2 linked regions of the Lytechinus pictus genome follow. The protein of the gene in region 2 purifies or fractionates together with the protein of the main gene of each other region. This does not show direct contact. Links are inferred from orthologs where the notes say so. Each region holds a gene or a part of one and is shown on either strand. Other genes may lie near its edges.

What was found. Proteins that work in one complex are often made in the same cells at the same time.
Region 1: the proteins of 3-hydroxyacyl-CoA dehydrogenase type-2-like (region 2) and tRNA methyltransferase 10 homolog C-like purify together in Homo sapiens (co-immunoprecipitation; 3 studies listed by BioGRID and IntAct, counting the BioPlex papers as one, with this or other methods). This does not show direct contact. The link is inferred for Lytechinus pictus from reciprocal best matches to the Homo sapiens genes HSD17B10 and TRMT10C.

Annotation. Positions count from the first base shown.
Region 1 is NC_087247.1:56,837,193-56,844,278, reverse strand, and holds the start of tRNA methyltransferase 10 homolog C-like, read right to left. Parts: upstream 3,004-7,086; 5' UTR 2,921-3,003; intron 1-2,920. UniProt on the Homo sapiens protein: Mitochondrial tRNA N(1)-methyltransferase involved in mitochondrial tRNA maturation. Component of mitochondrial ribonuclease P, a complex composed of TRMT10C/MRPP1, HSD17B10/MRPP2 and PRORP/MRPP3, which cleaves tRNA molecules in their 5'-ends.
Region 2 is NC_087247.1:37,436,911-37,444,711, forward strand, and holds the start of 3-hydroxyacyl-CoA dehydrogenase type-2-like, read left to right. Parts: upstream 1-4,798; 5' UTR 4,799-5,004; coding exon 5,005-5,028; intron 5,029-6,516; coding exon 6,517-6,681; intron 6,682-7,500; coding exon 7,501-7,801. UniProt on the Homo sapiens protein: Mitochondrial dehydrogenase involved in pathways of fatty acid, branched-chain amino acid and steroid metabolism. Acts as (S)-3-hydroxyacyl-CoA dehydrogenase in mitochondrial fatty acid beta-oxidation, a major degradation pathway of fatty acids.

The DNA.
Region 1 (7,086 bases), about 19 Mb from region 2:
GGGGCTATTGTAACTTATTGTTGCATGCGATATTTGTCTGTCTGTATGCTGCAATAATTATTTCTTGCTGCATCCTGCAAGAACATCATGTTTTACAAAAGGAGACATTCCAAAGACATTATAACGACAGATTGGTAGACTTTTCAGCAATTAAAAATTGGAGTTTGAGACGATAATCTTTCAGAGAAAATATGTCTTTGAAAAGAGTCACATGTATTTTCAGCACAGAAGCGCACAAGCAGAAGCGTCGGGGGCGCAAGGAAATTACGCCTCATATCAGCAATGCGCTTTATTTTTTCAGAAGAGACGCTTCTATTGGTTGACCTAGCATATAACAAGCAGTAATGATTGGTTAATGAAATATTGGGCGTGGTGTCCATGGTGTCAGAGATAAAATAGGTGACATCCTTACAGAGATAAGTCATAACTTAGACAATTTCCAGAATGCCAATTGGCAAGACTTCCATAAATGTATATCCCCTCCACTATTAAAAATTGAATAAAAAATATGGAGGTTTATCGAGAATAATCTAAAACATATATCCAAGAGATTTAGGATGGAAAAGATGGATACATACCAAAATATGGCTTTATTCTGTCAAAATCTCGAGTGTGTGTAATTCCCGGTCCCCGGTAATACAATACTGCAAGAGTTTTCAGGATTAAAGGAGGCAGTCAGTGTAGCTTGAAACCTTCCCAATCATGGCATCAGTTTATTTAGTCAGAAAAACAATAGACTCTACTACCCAATACTCTTGTCTTGACTAGTCGTAACATCGGTTGATAACCGTTATGAAACCCATGGCTTTCAACTATTCCTGCTAGCTCAGTAAGGTGACAGACTGGAGATGCTTTGTTCTGCAGCGAGAGGTTCGAACAAGACAAGGAAGTCTAGACTCTAGCTTTCTACCTCGGGCGATGTTCGTGCAGGCTCCACTCCACTTCACTACCGCTACACTCCGCACCACCTACCCGAACATCGGGACCGTGAACCATTTCGGATATACCGAGTCACAAAGGTGGGATGGCAATCATGATAATCTTAAAAATTAAACAAAAAATATGTAACGAAAAAGATGATTGACTTAATATCTTACTCTACACCCGTATTTCACTCCGTTTCCATCCTCCGGTTATCCTCAAAATTGGTGATTTTGGGCCAGTATCTATTTCCTCACACGTATTAGGGTGTCTGAAGCCACACTGAAAAGTGTCAGCATAAAACAGGCTAATTTAGGGGAAAATATGGCACATTTTTTCAGGGAAGTTCAGGCTACTAGAAAAATGTGATCTGAATTGATTATTAACTTGTGTTTGGCATGTATGGAAAGAGAAAATTCAGGGGCATCTGTTGACAGTAAGGACAAGTTTATATGATCATTTTAAATAAGGATTTAGAGATAAATTGCAAACCCTTATTTTTGTGTGTGTTGAGATTGCCATTTCTCCATGCGTTTTCTATGGGAAAATGAAATTTCTGTTTTGCACAATTTTTTTAACTTTGTCGCAATTTTTCATTGTGATCTGGTTTCCAAATCTTTATGAAAATCATACCATCAGATAGAGCATAAAAAATCCTATTGGACTCTTTATGGACAAGTTTTTGGCATTAATAATAAATATATAACAGCTCTCGGAAGCTAAAAATTTGGATTTGTGTGTGTCCATTTCTTAACTACACAGTCTATGGCAGAGAAATGCTGAAAATTTACCTAATTTCATTCTTCTTTTTTGCAGCCAATAATTGGATTTTTTTCGAAATTTTTACATTTCTGTCAGTCTGAAGGTAATTTCTCTTCAAATTCACAAAGAAAATGTGATATTTTCTTGAAATAAGAAAAATAATTTTTTTCTCCAGACACCCTACACGTATTATTCACGGCCGATTTCAAAACATCGCATGCGATTGCGATCGGTCGCAGGTCAAACCAATCGCGATCGCATGCGATGTTTTGAAATCGGCCGTGAATAATACGTGAGGAAAAAGATACTGGCCCAAAATCACCAATTTTGAGGATAACCAGAGGATGGACACGGAGTGAAATACGGGTGTAGAGTAAGATATTAAGTCATTCATATCCCTCGTTGTATTTTTTTTCTTTAATTTTTACGATAACCATGATTGCCATCCCACCGTTTATGACTCGGAATATCCGATCTAGTTCACTGTCCCGGTGTAGCCCCGGGGGGGCCACTTCCATTGACAAGTGGATACCATGCGCAACCATGGGGTCTCGAAAAGCACCCTAAACACGTATTTTCCATATTGAAAATGCACCCCTTAACAGAAAATAACACGTATTGGCATGTGAAACCCTACCCTTAACAAGTATTGGAAACAAAACGATACTCTTGGCAAGTATTCCCTGAAATATACCCCTAAACAAGTACAGGAATAGTTTGTCACTGGTCCTTCGGTCGTTGGTTTTACCTTTTAATACACATCATTTGGTTTAGTACGAACCCACCTTCCGCACGTCGCGCAAATCGGACTCTAAACACGAAGTGTTGTGGCAAAAGGATATCCTTTATAAAATATTTTAATTTTGTTTAATCATCCCCGCAAATTTGACCCTAAACACGTAACTTTTCTAGCGAAATACCACCCCAGGGGCCCAGGGCCAGGCCAGGCTTTACATTACCGAGTGCACGATACGCTCCGCTCCCGGGACTCCGCTGCCGAAGCGAGGCCAAGGGCCCGGGCGAGGCGGCGGAGCAGCAGAAAAGGGCATGTCATGCACGTGCAAGGAGATCGAGTGACCTCTGAGTCTGACTCTAGTAAAGAAAAGTAAGACTAAGAGTAGCACAGTGCTTACTCCTAGGATTTTCATTGCCTACTTTGTATTTTGAAGTAAAACTGATAAACGGCAATGTACATGCAAATATTTTGGGTTAAAACCAGTAGGATCGTTAAACTTACTATCAAGATTCCGGAGACGACGCGTCGTCGTCCGCTTCAGATTTCACAGTTTGTCTTCATCAATTAACACTAGAGGGCGTCAACGCAACACGATACTAGTATATGGTCCATCCAGGAGCCGTTTCATCAGCTGATAAGGCGACTTTAAGAACGACTGGTGATCCTTTCTTTCGGTAAATGACATATATGGACCATTTAAATGTTCGTTGGTGATTATTTATTTAAGGTTCACCGGTAGCTCTTAACTTACGAACAACTTTATGAAACACCCACCTGGGGGTGTTTCACAAAGATTCGCTCTTAAATGCCTAGCTGCCAGGGGCGTCGATCCATTTTTCAGATGGGGGGGGGGGGGGGGGGGCAAAATCATGAATCAACGTTCCAAATAGGCGCTCGATCACACAAAACAAACTAACTCACACACCCCCCCCCCACACACATAGGCCTCTCTCTCTATAAATATATGTGACTCATGAGAAAGAGACACATATCTCACCAACAAATTAATGCGAGTGCGAGCTGAAATTTATATTTACAATGATCTGAAAATAGGAAAAAGGTACCTGTTTAGGACTGTTTGTAGTAACTCATGAGGAGGATACATATATCACTACACAGATAATGCGAGTGCTGAGAGCGAGCTGAAATTTCTTTAAATTCTGACCCGAAAGCATGATACTCTAAGGATTTTTGGTACCAATGACTAAGATGGACGGGGGGGAGGGGGGGGGGGGCACTCAGTTTATAATGCATAGTGGGTATGTGCCGCGGAGGGGACCCCCATTTTTACACTCAAATTTCCGTTCCAAGGCATAGCATTTTTGTCTCATTGAGGTCTCATTGAGAAAAAGAACAAAGAAAGCCGCTCCAAAGCATAGCATTTTTTTCTTATCGAGGAAAAAGAAGAAATCCGCTCCAAAGCTTCGCATATTTTTCGTTATGCCGTTCCGGTCGCATTGATCTGCTACAATGAGCTGCAATTTTGGTGAAAAGTGGCCGCAGAGCGCTGTCCGACCATCGCCTCTGCGCGAGCGCACCCGGGCTAGCTGCATCATGCACGCATGCCCGTTCCATATAGGGATGCATACGCACTCACACGCTGGCGATCCGTTCCAAGGACCCCCGTTTTCACAAATATTTGTTGTTCCAAAGCCCGTTCCGAGGACCCTCCTTTTTACAATAAGCCCGCTCCAAGGCCCCCGTTTTTTGTCTCGCCCGCGGCACACCCCTACCACTTTTTTGGTCGAGTGCCCCCCCCCCCCCCCCCCGGGATGGGACGTATCTAAAAGAGCAATAGATGTGAGCGCGAAGCGCGAGCTGAAGATTTTGATATTTCAATCTGAAAAAATGACTTTTTAATGAAGAACAAGATATATATCCAACAAAAGATTATTGCAAATTGAAGCGCGAGTTTTTTTTTTAGGTTTAGAACTGAAAACGGGACATTCTATTCACCTATTTAATCCTGAAAAGTATGGGTTTTTACTACAGAAATGATGCGAGCGCGAGCTGAAAATGTGTATATTCCAATCTGAAAAGCGGACATTTTGAGCACGATTTTAAATAAAGAACGACTTGTGTATCTCGATCTCGCTTGCTAATTTATGTGTAACATTACAATCTTATTTTATTTTTGTACATGCGGAATTATTGTGGGGGGGGGGCAAAACGATGTTTGCCCCCCCCCCCCCGATATTTTCATTGGTGGGGCGATCGCCCCCCTGCCCCCCCCCCAGGATCGACGCCTCTGCTAGTTGCGTGCAGTATTAAAGGCATGACCGCAATGGTCAGATCATGCCAAGAGGACGCGCAGGACTGCGTATTGATCAATAAGATTGCGCTTGCATATCATGTATGTGTCGGAATTTAAGTGCAACTCTTAGTCATTCTTCAATCTTTGTGAAACACTCCCCTGGACTGAAATATTAGTTCGTGCTAGATTATTTCCTGAAAAAAAAAACAAGTGAGAATGTAGACCTACTATTTTCAGGGCAGCCAGACTCTGGTAATTCTTATGTTGTATACAGGCCTATTTTCCAGCATGCATGCTTTAGGATAATTATTAAACTATTGCAAGTAACTATGAACACACACACCTACTCCTGACACACATACAGACACTCACAAACACTCTCGCATACAAACGTTTCTACCGTTATGTATGCTTATATACATAGATATGTTAAGCAAAATGAAGAGACAAGAAGAAGCTACAAGCAATTTTATATACCTCAAGAAGAAAGCGGACATAATGTTGGAATGTTGGGTACTATTGCCTTTTAATATTGCAGGACCAACAATGCAATCGCAAATTGATTATACAAGGCATTTGTGTAATAATGGAAAGACATTTAAAGTTCCTCACATGCTTCATTGCAATTAAAGAAGAATGTAACTCTTGAAACCAGTTGAATTATTTTTAAAAGAGAAAAATAAAAAAATAGACCAATGAAAGTTTGAAAAAATAAATGAATAAAAATAAAGTTACGAGCATTTGAATATTGAAATCACTAGAAATATGTAAGTTCTAATGAGAGGACATGTAGAACAGCTAAGCTTTTACAACATTAATAAAATTGTTCTTCCTTATTAGAATGGACAATATATTTTTAGTGCACAAATGGGAAAGTTTTTCATGTGTGACATCAAACATCTTGTTTGCATTGCCAATGGATTTCCATTGCATTAGTGACATTAACATTCAAATGCTCTTTCTAATTAAAACTTTTTCATTTATCTTCTTTGTCATTGCTTTCACACAAACTAACTTATTTCAAGGGTTTAATCTCCTTTAATATATAGCAATAAAATACAACGCAATACAAGGGAATACAAATTCAATTGACTACACTTTAATTGAGTACATGTATTTTCATTCATTGATGACATGACTATGAACAATTAGGCAGTATAAAGTCATTGAAAGCCATAAAACTAAAGTAGTGGTATTAAAATGGGATATATATAATCATGTGTCTATGGATGATTACAGGTAAATACGAAAATTCAAAGCATAAACAAATCTTTGACATTCTAACATGAATTATTTACTTTATAGAATGATAATAAGAAAGAAACAGCAATTTCGATTAACTCTATTTGAATAATAATTGTAGAGAAGAGAAAGACTAATATCAATGTCAAGTAAACTGAAGAGATTCTAAAGACTCACAAAGGGATCAAAAGAATGACATATTACAAGGACAAGTCCACCTCAACAAAATGTTGATTTGAATAAAAAAAAGAAAAATCCAACAAGCATAACACTGAAAATGTCATCAAAATCAGATGTAAAAGAAAGTTATGACATTTTAAAGTTTTGCTTAATTTCACAAGACAGTAATATGCACATCCTGGTGGGTATGCAAATGAGGAGACTGATGACGTCATCCACTCACTTTTTCTTTTGTATTTTATTATATGAAATAGGGAATATTCTATTTTTCTCCTCATTGTCGAGTGAAACAGCGATTAATTCCTCCCTGAACATGTGGAATGAGCATTGATTAATACTATATGATTCAGTCAAGTTGGTCCTTATTGTCAAATCTATAAAAAATGAAATATTGTATTATTCAAACAATAAAAAATAAAAAAAATAGTGAGGGACATCATCGATTGTCTCATATGAGTTGTACATATCACTGTTAAGTGAAAAAAATAAGCAACTTCAAAATGTCATAACCTTCTTATTTTACATCCGATTTTGATGAAACTTTCAGCGTTTTGCTAGTTTGATTTTTCTCTATTTATTCAAATCAACATTTCCTGGGGTGGACTTGACCTTTAAGCACTGTATTAGTATACCTAACTTTCTCTCATAATATCAAAATTATGATAGCAGATACAAATGGAAAAATACATGGGGCCTTTAGGTGATATAGCTCTTGAAATGGTCAAAAGACCCCTGGAAACTAAACAAGTGGAACGCCTCTGGCAGTCTCGCCTGCATTACGCAATTTAATATAGCAGCAGTGCTAACTTTGAAAACTACTATAAAATAATCATTCACAAAAACATCATTCATATAATGACATAATGCCACGTTCATTGACCATAAATGACATTTGAACGGAGACTTAAGACTGTCAACTACACCCATGTCCACATTTCATTCACTCTATCCATAAACTTTCAAAGTTATGATGGCACTTCAACAATTACCC
Region 2 (7,801 bases):
CCGAGTGATTATAACAAGCCCTCTTTCTTGTTCTTATCACGCTTTGAGCTTCGCCCTATCAAATGCTCGGGGCACAATCATAATATATCCTGTTCATACAATGATATGACCGGGATTTTTTTTGGCTCTTGCCCCCCCCCCCCCCTATCCACCGACCCCTATTACGCCCCTGGGGGGGGGGATGGGGATGAACCATTGTTTCTCTCCCCACTTGAATATTTTTTTTTTTCTCTTTAAACCTCTTTCGAGGGACTTTATTTACATCTCTATAATACAGTTTACAAATCACAAAGTATATACAGTAATCAAATTAATCAATCAATAAATGAGTTCCAGCAATTTGTCAATTTCTTTTGTATTCTTATTTTTGGTAACATATTTTGAACTTAAATACCATCTCAGTTTCATTTTCAAATTCATCCATAATCTATTTACATTAACAAAGTAATAACCTTTTTTCATACTCGTTTCAATATAATTTCTGTAAATGGTGTATTGAGTAAAATTCAAAATGATATTAATTAACCAGTATTTCGGTTCTTGTATATTCCAACCTAAAATTACTATATTTTCATTAACATAGACCCCACTTGAATATAGTATCCCATGATTTAGCCTATGCAGAGAGAATGTATAGAGACGGAGCAAATTTTCTTAACAAAGGATATATATCCTATTCCTAGATAATGACACAATTTCAGCACTTTTGACAAATTTAAGACCTTAAGTTTACAGCATAAGTATTGGTATATTCGTCGGTAGTTGGAGTAGTAGTTATGGCGCAGTCACATTTGCCATACGGCGGCCGTATGGCGAGTCGAAAACAGCCGTTTCAACATAATTATTATACCAGCTAAATAGGTGTTTGAATAAAAATGAATAAATGGCAGTTTTCGACTCGCCGTACGCTGCCGTAGGGGAAATGTGACTGCATTGAGATATACTGTTGTGCGAGGGACCCAGTGTTGCGACCGAGCAAGAAAATAAAAGCTTTAAAACACTTGACGACATGAATGGAGTAGGGCATAAGCGGCGGAAGTGGAAGGGGGGGGGGGACGCGTCCCCCCTAAATTTAAGTTGGGGGACAGTCCCCCCTAAAAAAGAGAGGAAGAAAAAAAGAAAGGAAGGAAGGAAAGAAGAAAGAAAGAAAATAGGAAAGGAAAGGAAAAGGATAAACGATAACAAGTGTAGGCCTACTGAACAGCTGAAACATTATAAGAATTTAAACCTATATAAAATAGCGAAAAATTAAAGTTTTACTATATGGAAAATAGTACACAAAGTTTAAACTCGTTTCTTATAGGACTTTGTTCAGAAAAAAATTGACAAGCAATTTTTTTTTCGCACCAAAATGAAGGATGTTTAGATCAATTCTATTTATTTATTACCCTTGATATGATAATGCGATGCTATAAGAAAAAAAATATAACGAATAGTAGTGAAAAGACTGGAAACACAAAAAATATTGAAAGAAATAGATTTGTATCTGAAAATGCGCGCAACTATCCAAGCTCACTCTCTGCGCTAGGCTAAGATCGCATTTCCTCAAAAAAACATGTATCAGCACAATGGCTGTTTTACATCATGGTCCTGAAGGACAAAATATAATCAGTGAAATAAATTAAATATTCATAGGATTAATATATTAGCAACAAAGCGAATATAATATACAAACAAACAATATAGCAAAACTTAAGAGTACGACAAAAAGAAGGTTTAAATCAAGAGAAATGTGACAAGTCGAGTTTGGAAGTACAAACAATAATTGTTTGAATGTCTGAGAAATAGAAACATAAGATGAGAAATAGAAACGACGGAGGATTGAGTAATAGTCGACTCCAGGGATGGAGCGAAAATAAAGGGGATTGGGAGTCAGAGAGAAATGAAACAATTAAGAAATGCAAGAGTAATGAGAAGAGGAATATTAAGAAGGAGAACATTGAAACAAACTCAAAACATTTTAGAATGTAACTAACATATCAAATATGATAAAAAAGTAAACATAATTATTCTAGTCATTGTAAAAAAAAACATGTGATTGAAGAGTAATATAAATCTTATTTAAAAATATTTATGTTTATAATTTCTCTTGAACGAGTTGAGGGTTTGTTGATTTTGTAATTCATTTGGGAGAGAATTCCACGATTTTGCACCAGAGTATTTAAAGGACTGTTTGAAAAGTTCGGTATTTGGTTTGGATAATTGAATAAGAACTATCAAAATCAGAGCACGATTAATTATTGTACTTTAGGTTTATATATCATCAGTGATTTTTTTTTCCAATTTTTATATATATCTAAAAGAAAAAAAAAAAAAAAAAAACATGGTTATTGGTTGTTGCCTAGTCTTATATCTTTAAATAAAAAAAATTAATGAGATTAACTTGACAATTTTACTGGATCCCACCCGACGCGGGCTTCCCGCTACGCGAAGAATTAAAAAAAATGGAAAAGAGGAAGAAGAGAAAAATTAGAGGAAGATTGAAAACAAAAGAGAAATGTGAATGAAATAAGGGGAGGGGAATACTTAGAAAATAAAAATGAAAATTTTGATCGCGCTTCGCGCTCGCATTCCCTGTACAAGAAGATAATCTGCTCACGGGGATAACATGGAGCTTTGAATATCCCATTTTAAAGTCAATATGCACAAATTATTTTGCTCGCGAATCGAGTTTTCATTGCATTCTGTTCTTGCTTTAAAAAAATACGTATTCTCTTCACGAATTACAGCAAAAAAATGCATTAAGTGTTCCCTTTCCAATTCAGTATATCACTTATTTTCATCTCGCTTCTCACAATCGCATAAAATGTTTAGTTGGATATCCATCCTTTTCATGATTACCAAAAGTGCTTAGAATGCCTAAATTTTAGGTCAGAATATAAAAAAAATTTAGCTCACGCGTCGCGCTCGCATAAAATGTTTAGTTAGATAACTATTCTTATTCATGATTACCAAAACTAAAGTGCTTAGAATGTCCAAGTTTTAGGTCATGATATCAAAGTTTTTCAGCTCGCGCTTCGCGCTCGCATGATTTTTTTTTAATAGATAGATACCCATCCTAGCTGTTCAGGGTCACAAAGAATGTTTAAAATCAAAATTTTAAGTCAAAATATCAACATTTTTCAGCTCGAGCCTCGCGCTCGCATGAATCGTTTATATACATGTAGATACCCATCCTGTGCTTAGCCGAAATATCCAGTTTTGGGTTTGGAATATCAATAATGTTTAGCTCTCTCTACGTGCTCGCATAAAATGTTTAGTTAGATACCCGTCTTGCTCATGATCACCAAAAGTGTTTTAGAAATGCCAAAATTTTAGATCAGAATATATATTTTTTTTCAGCTCGCGCGTCACGCGCGCAGCATCAATATTATTGTTTAGATACCGTAAGGGCACTAGTATTCAACCCGTTTGGAGAGTTTCCTCAAATATATAGAAATATATAATTTACCTGAATTTCAGACCCGTCTTACTTCCAAGAGCAAATTCTGGTTATTCTTTTTCCGTTATTTTTTTCTTCAACCCGTCGACTGTGTGCGCGGGCGATCGAATTATACGGTGATGGTTTTTGGCACTAGTATTCAATCTGTCGGCACTAGTATTCAACCTAGCGATGGAAGATGGCCCTGTCTTTAAATCTGCCCTTGTTCCATCCGACTATGGACTAGACCAATTGAGATGAGACTAAACAGGGAATTAATCAAAGCCAGAGACTTACATAAATCTAGATCTAATTTAGCAATCTAAACCATTTTGAAATTAGCCATCTATCATCACTATCATCCCAGCCATGGCGTAATTTCCTTCGGCAAGAAATTTATCCACATTGTGCTGCACTCAACCCAGGTGAGGTGAATGGGTACCTTGCAGGAATTTATTCCTTGAAATGCGTGTGCGCTGTAATCTTAGTAATTACGGCTGTCAAGCTACAGCTCGGGTAATAATATCCAAGTCCTTTGGAAGCGCATAGAGACATTATTCATAATTGTGATATGCGCTATACAAGAACTGTTTATTATTATTATTATTATTAGGTTGAATACTAGTGCATTTCAGTGCAAAAGGTCATCGCCGCATTATTCGATCCTCCGCGCATACAGTCGATAGATTGATAAAGAAAATACCGACAACAGATTACACTGGAAATAACAAAGGTATGAAATTAAGATAAATTCCCTATTTCTAAATATTTGGGGGAATTTGTCCAAATCTTTGAATTATGCCAGGTTGAATACTAGTGCCCATATGGTACCCAACCTATTCATGGTTTTAAAAAGATAGCTAGAATGTCCAGTTTCATGTCAAGTCGGAATATCAAAAATTTTCAGCTCGCGCTACGCGCTCACATAAAATATTTCTTTAGATACCCATCGTGTTCATGGAGGGGGGGGGGCGCCATTTTCCGAAAAGTACACAGGAGCACCAAAATCAGGTTGGGCCCCGGGTGCAGAATCATGGACGCCTACCTTATCAGATGTCTAATCTTGTTTTTTTTAAGAAAAAAACTAATATGTACTTAAGACTTCAGACTTCAGTGGGGGCTACCCCCTGAACAAAAAATTAAAAAGTCAGGTTTAACTTAGCAGTCGACTGGGGGAAAATGTGGGTGAAAATATTTTTTCCGTCCCCCCCCCCCAAATGTTGATGCCTCCGCCGCCAATGGAGTAGGGCCTATATTATACCAGTGTAATTTGTATTTGTTTTTATTTTTTCTTTGGGGTCGGATTTTTTAATTTTTTTAGGGGGGGGGGGGGTTGAGTCCCCAAAGCTCCCAACAACCACTCGTTTCAGTTCCTATTCTTTCGTTGTTTTTAATCGGCAGTCTGGTATGACAACGTACGTAACCGGCTGGCCGGAGGAAGCCCCGCCCCCACACAATTGGCGTTCCATAAATCAGTGGCGCGATCATCTTGTCATTCTTGCTTCTCCTGCCCGCTATTTACTTCTAAACGTAAGTTTATTGGCGGTTTTGATCGACTTAATTGTGCCGGTTTATTCACCAGTATGTCATCGGTAAAGTCAGTGAAGGTAAGTGTACATGAAATACCTCGACTTGTTCTTGGTTCTGATTAGACTTTGAAGACCGCCTGCGCGAGTTTTATAGCCGTAGCGTAGCCTAGGCGAGGCCTAGGGACGTCCGGACCCCTGCGGCTCCGGACTGTCCCGAGTCGGAGGACGGCACGTACGGTACAAACTGGTTATGCCAATGGTATCGTGCCGGAATGCGCGGTTCGCCGCGAGCCTTGAGGACTCCATGATATTTTTTAATATTTTGACATATACTTCTTTATCATGGAGCCTAAGTTGAACCGCCTGCCGTATAATAAGAGACACTTGTAGTTGTTGACATGTTGTAAACAAAGATGGATTTCCCTAGGAAATCCATCTTTTAAGATAAAAATCACGTAGGTCCTAGGCCTAAATGTTTTTGATTTTATTTATTTTTACACCTTCATTCATAGTACGCATAAATGCGTATGATTGAAGATTTCCAAAATTGGTTAATGAAAAGGCGAACTATTGAAGGTTTCTTACCTGACCGATCTCGTGTAGATCCCTCGATCCGTTTGTCAACAAAGCAAATACAATAGGTCTGACCCTTGAACCGCTTCGTTATGACGTACCTTCGGCTTTGATTAGCGATGTTACAAAATGCCGTTTTGAAGAACAATTTATAGATAAAAATTATTATTTAACAAATACTAAAATTAAGACGTGATTAGGAATAACAATTATTATTATAATAATTATTACTAATCACGTCTTAATGACTTTTTTCTCAACTTGGTCATCATGTAGGCCTATGTGGAAACTTGCAAACTATCTCATATTATTTTATTTGAAGTAGAAAATTAACAACCTTAATGCACTTACCAGATAAAAATATTTTACAGAAGTAAAGTGGGCATGGCAACAATTAAAAATCTCAAATTGCCCAAAATTACTTATGGCGCACTTTGGTTATGCCCTGGCCCACTGTGCCTCGATTCACTATCTGTAGGCCTACATTTTTGTCATGAAAAATTGTAATTGATGCAAAAAGTAAATTTACCAGGAATACTTTGTACTCCAATGCAATGATCAGTAACTATTTCACTAATTTTTCATGCTTTTATCAGTTTGAAAATTGATGATTTGAAACCTGACTATTTCTTCACTCATAGATTCACTATCAATTAAAAAACATCACAATTGCAAGAAGGCCTGGCCAGCAGCCACGGCAATGCTTGCGAATGCAATGCTTTCAATTTGGTAGTGAATTTAAACTGTGACAAAAAAGGTACAGTTTTTTAATATGGTAATCGATTTCAAAACTGATAGAACATGGAGTATGACTTTGGACCAGTCATAGTTTTTGCACACTATTCTCATTGAACTGTGCAGAAACTGGTTGGAAGCCTTATCCTGCATTCAAATTAAAAAAATTGCCCATTGTTTCCACCCAAAATATGTATAAATACGAATTATATGATTTAGAATGTAAAGGAGTAAACAATCTTTCTATTTTTTGGGAAGGGTTTAGTTGGACTGGTTACAGGTGGTGCCTCTGGTCTTGGGAGGGCTACTGTGGAAAGATTCTTAAGAAATGGAGCCAGAGTAGTCATTGTAGATCTGCCAAACTCTCCCGGTGAAGAGCTAGCTAAAAGTTTGGGAGATGACTGCAAATTTTCTCCTGGTGATGTAAGTATAAAATTCTTTGGAGAATATCTTATATTTCCTGAGTATTTTACCTTAGTTACTTCATTATTTTTCTAATTATTCTCAATGAAGGTTGCTGTAGAAGAGACAATTGCTATAAAAGACAAGTATTCAACCTCTTTGTTCAATGATGGAAATGATTTTTACTGAATTGTATGAATACATTGAAATAATTTTATGAATGAGTCATTTATATTGTAGCAATGATTAATGCTTGAATTAAAGCTTAACTAGTTTAGTTCTGGATTTGAATTTGAATAATTGAGTGAACTGCCTCAAAATAATTGTGAAAGGGTGTGTGTAATACACCTGAAGAACTACCAAAAACGTTAGCGAATTGACTCAAACACTAGCTTCTAAAGATCAAATCAACTGCACACAGATGAGCATGTATCATGTATGGAACTACACCCGACTTTGGAAAAAGGTTCAAGCTGCTTTTTGTTTTATTTTGAAGAGCATCCTTTGCTATGAAGTGAACCATTTTTTAAAATTTTCCTAATCATTATCAAAAGATTTTTATAGATCCAATTCTTTCCATCCTTCCCACAACTTTTGTTTATCTTGAAGCTCGAACCTAATTTTTAGAATCAACATATTTTCCCTTGTAGTACTGTTCAATGTTGATTGCAATTGATGTTTAGAAGCAAACATAATTTGCTCTGAATACCAAATCTGTTTCCATAATTGAGTCATGGGCAAATTGTACATCAGAAATTAATCTTTATAAAAATTCCTGCTGCACATTTGCAGCAAAATAGTGTATATTCTGAAGTTTTGCATTATTTGAATTTCCATCAGGTCACTTCAACAGATGATGTAACGAAAGCCATAGATACTGCTAAGGAATCGTTTGGACGTCTAGATGTAGCTGTAAGCTGTGCAGGCATAGGTGTAGCGGCCAAGACCTACAACTTTAACAAAGACCGACCCCACCCACTAGAAGAATTCCAGAGGGTCCTGATGGTCAACACGGCGGGTACCTTCAATGTAGCAAGACTTGCTGCAGGAGCCATAGGTAAAAATGAGCCCAATGCTGATGGAGAAAGGGGGGTAATTATCAACACAGCCAGTGTAGCGGCCTATGATGGACAGATGGGTC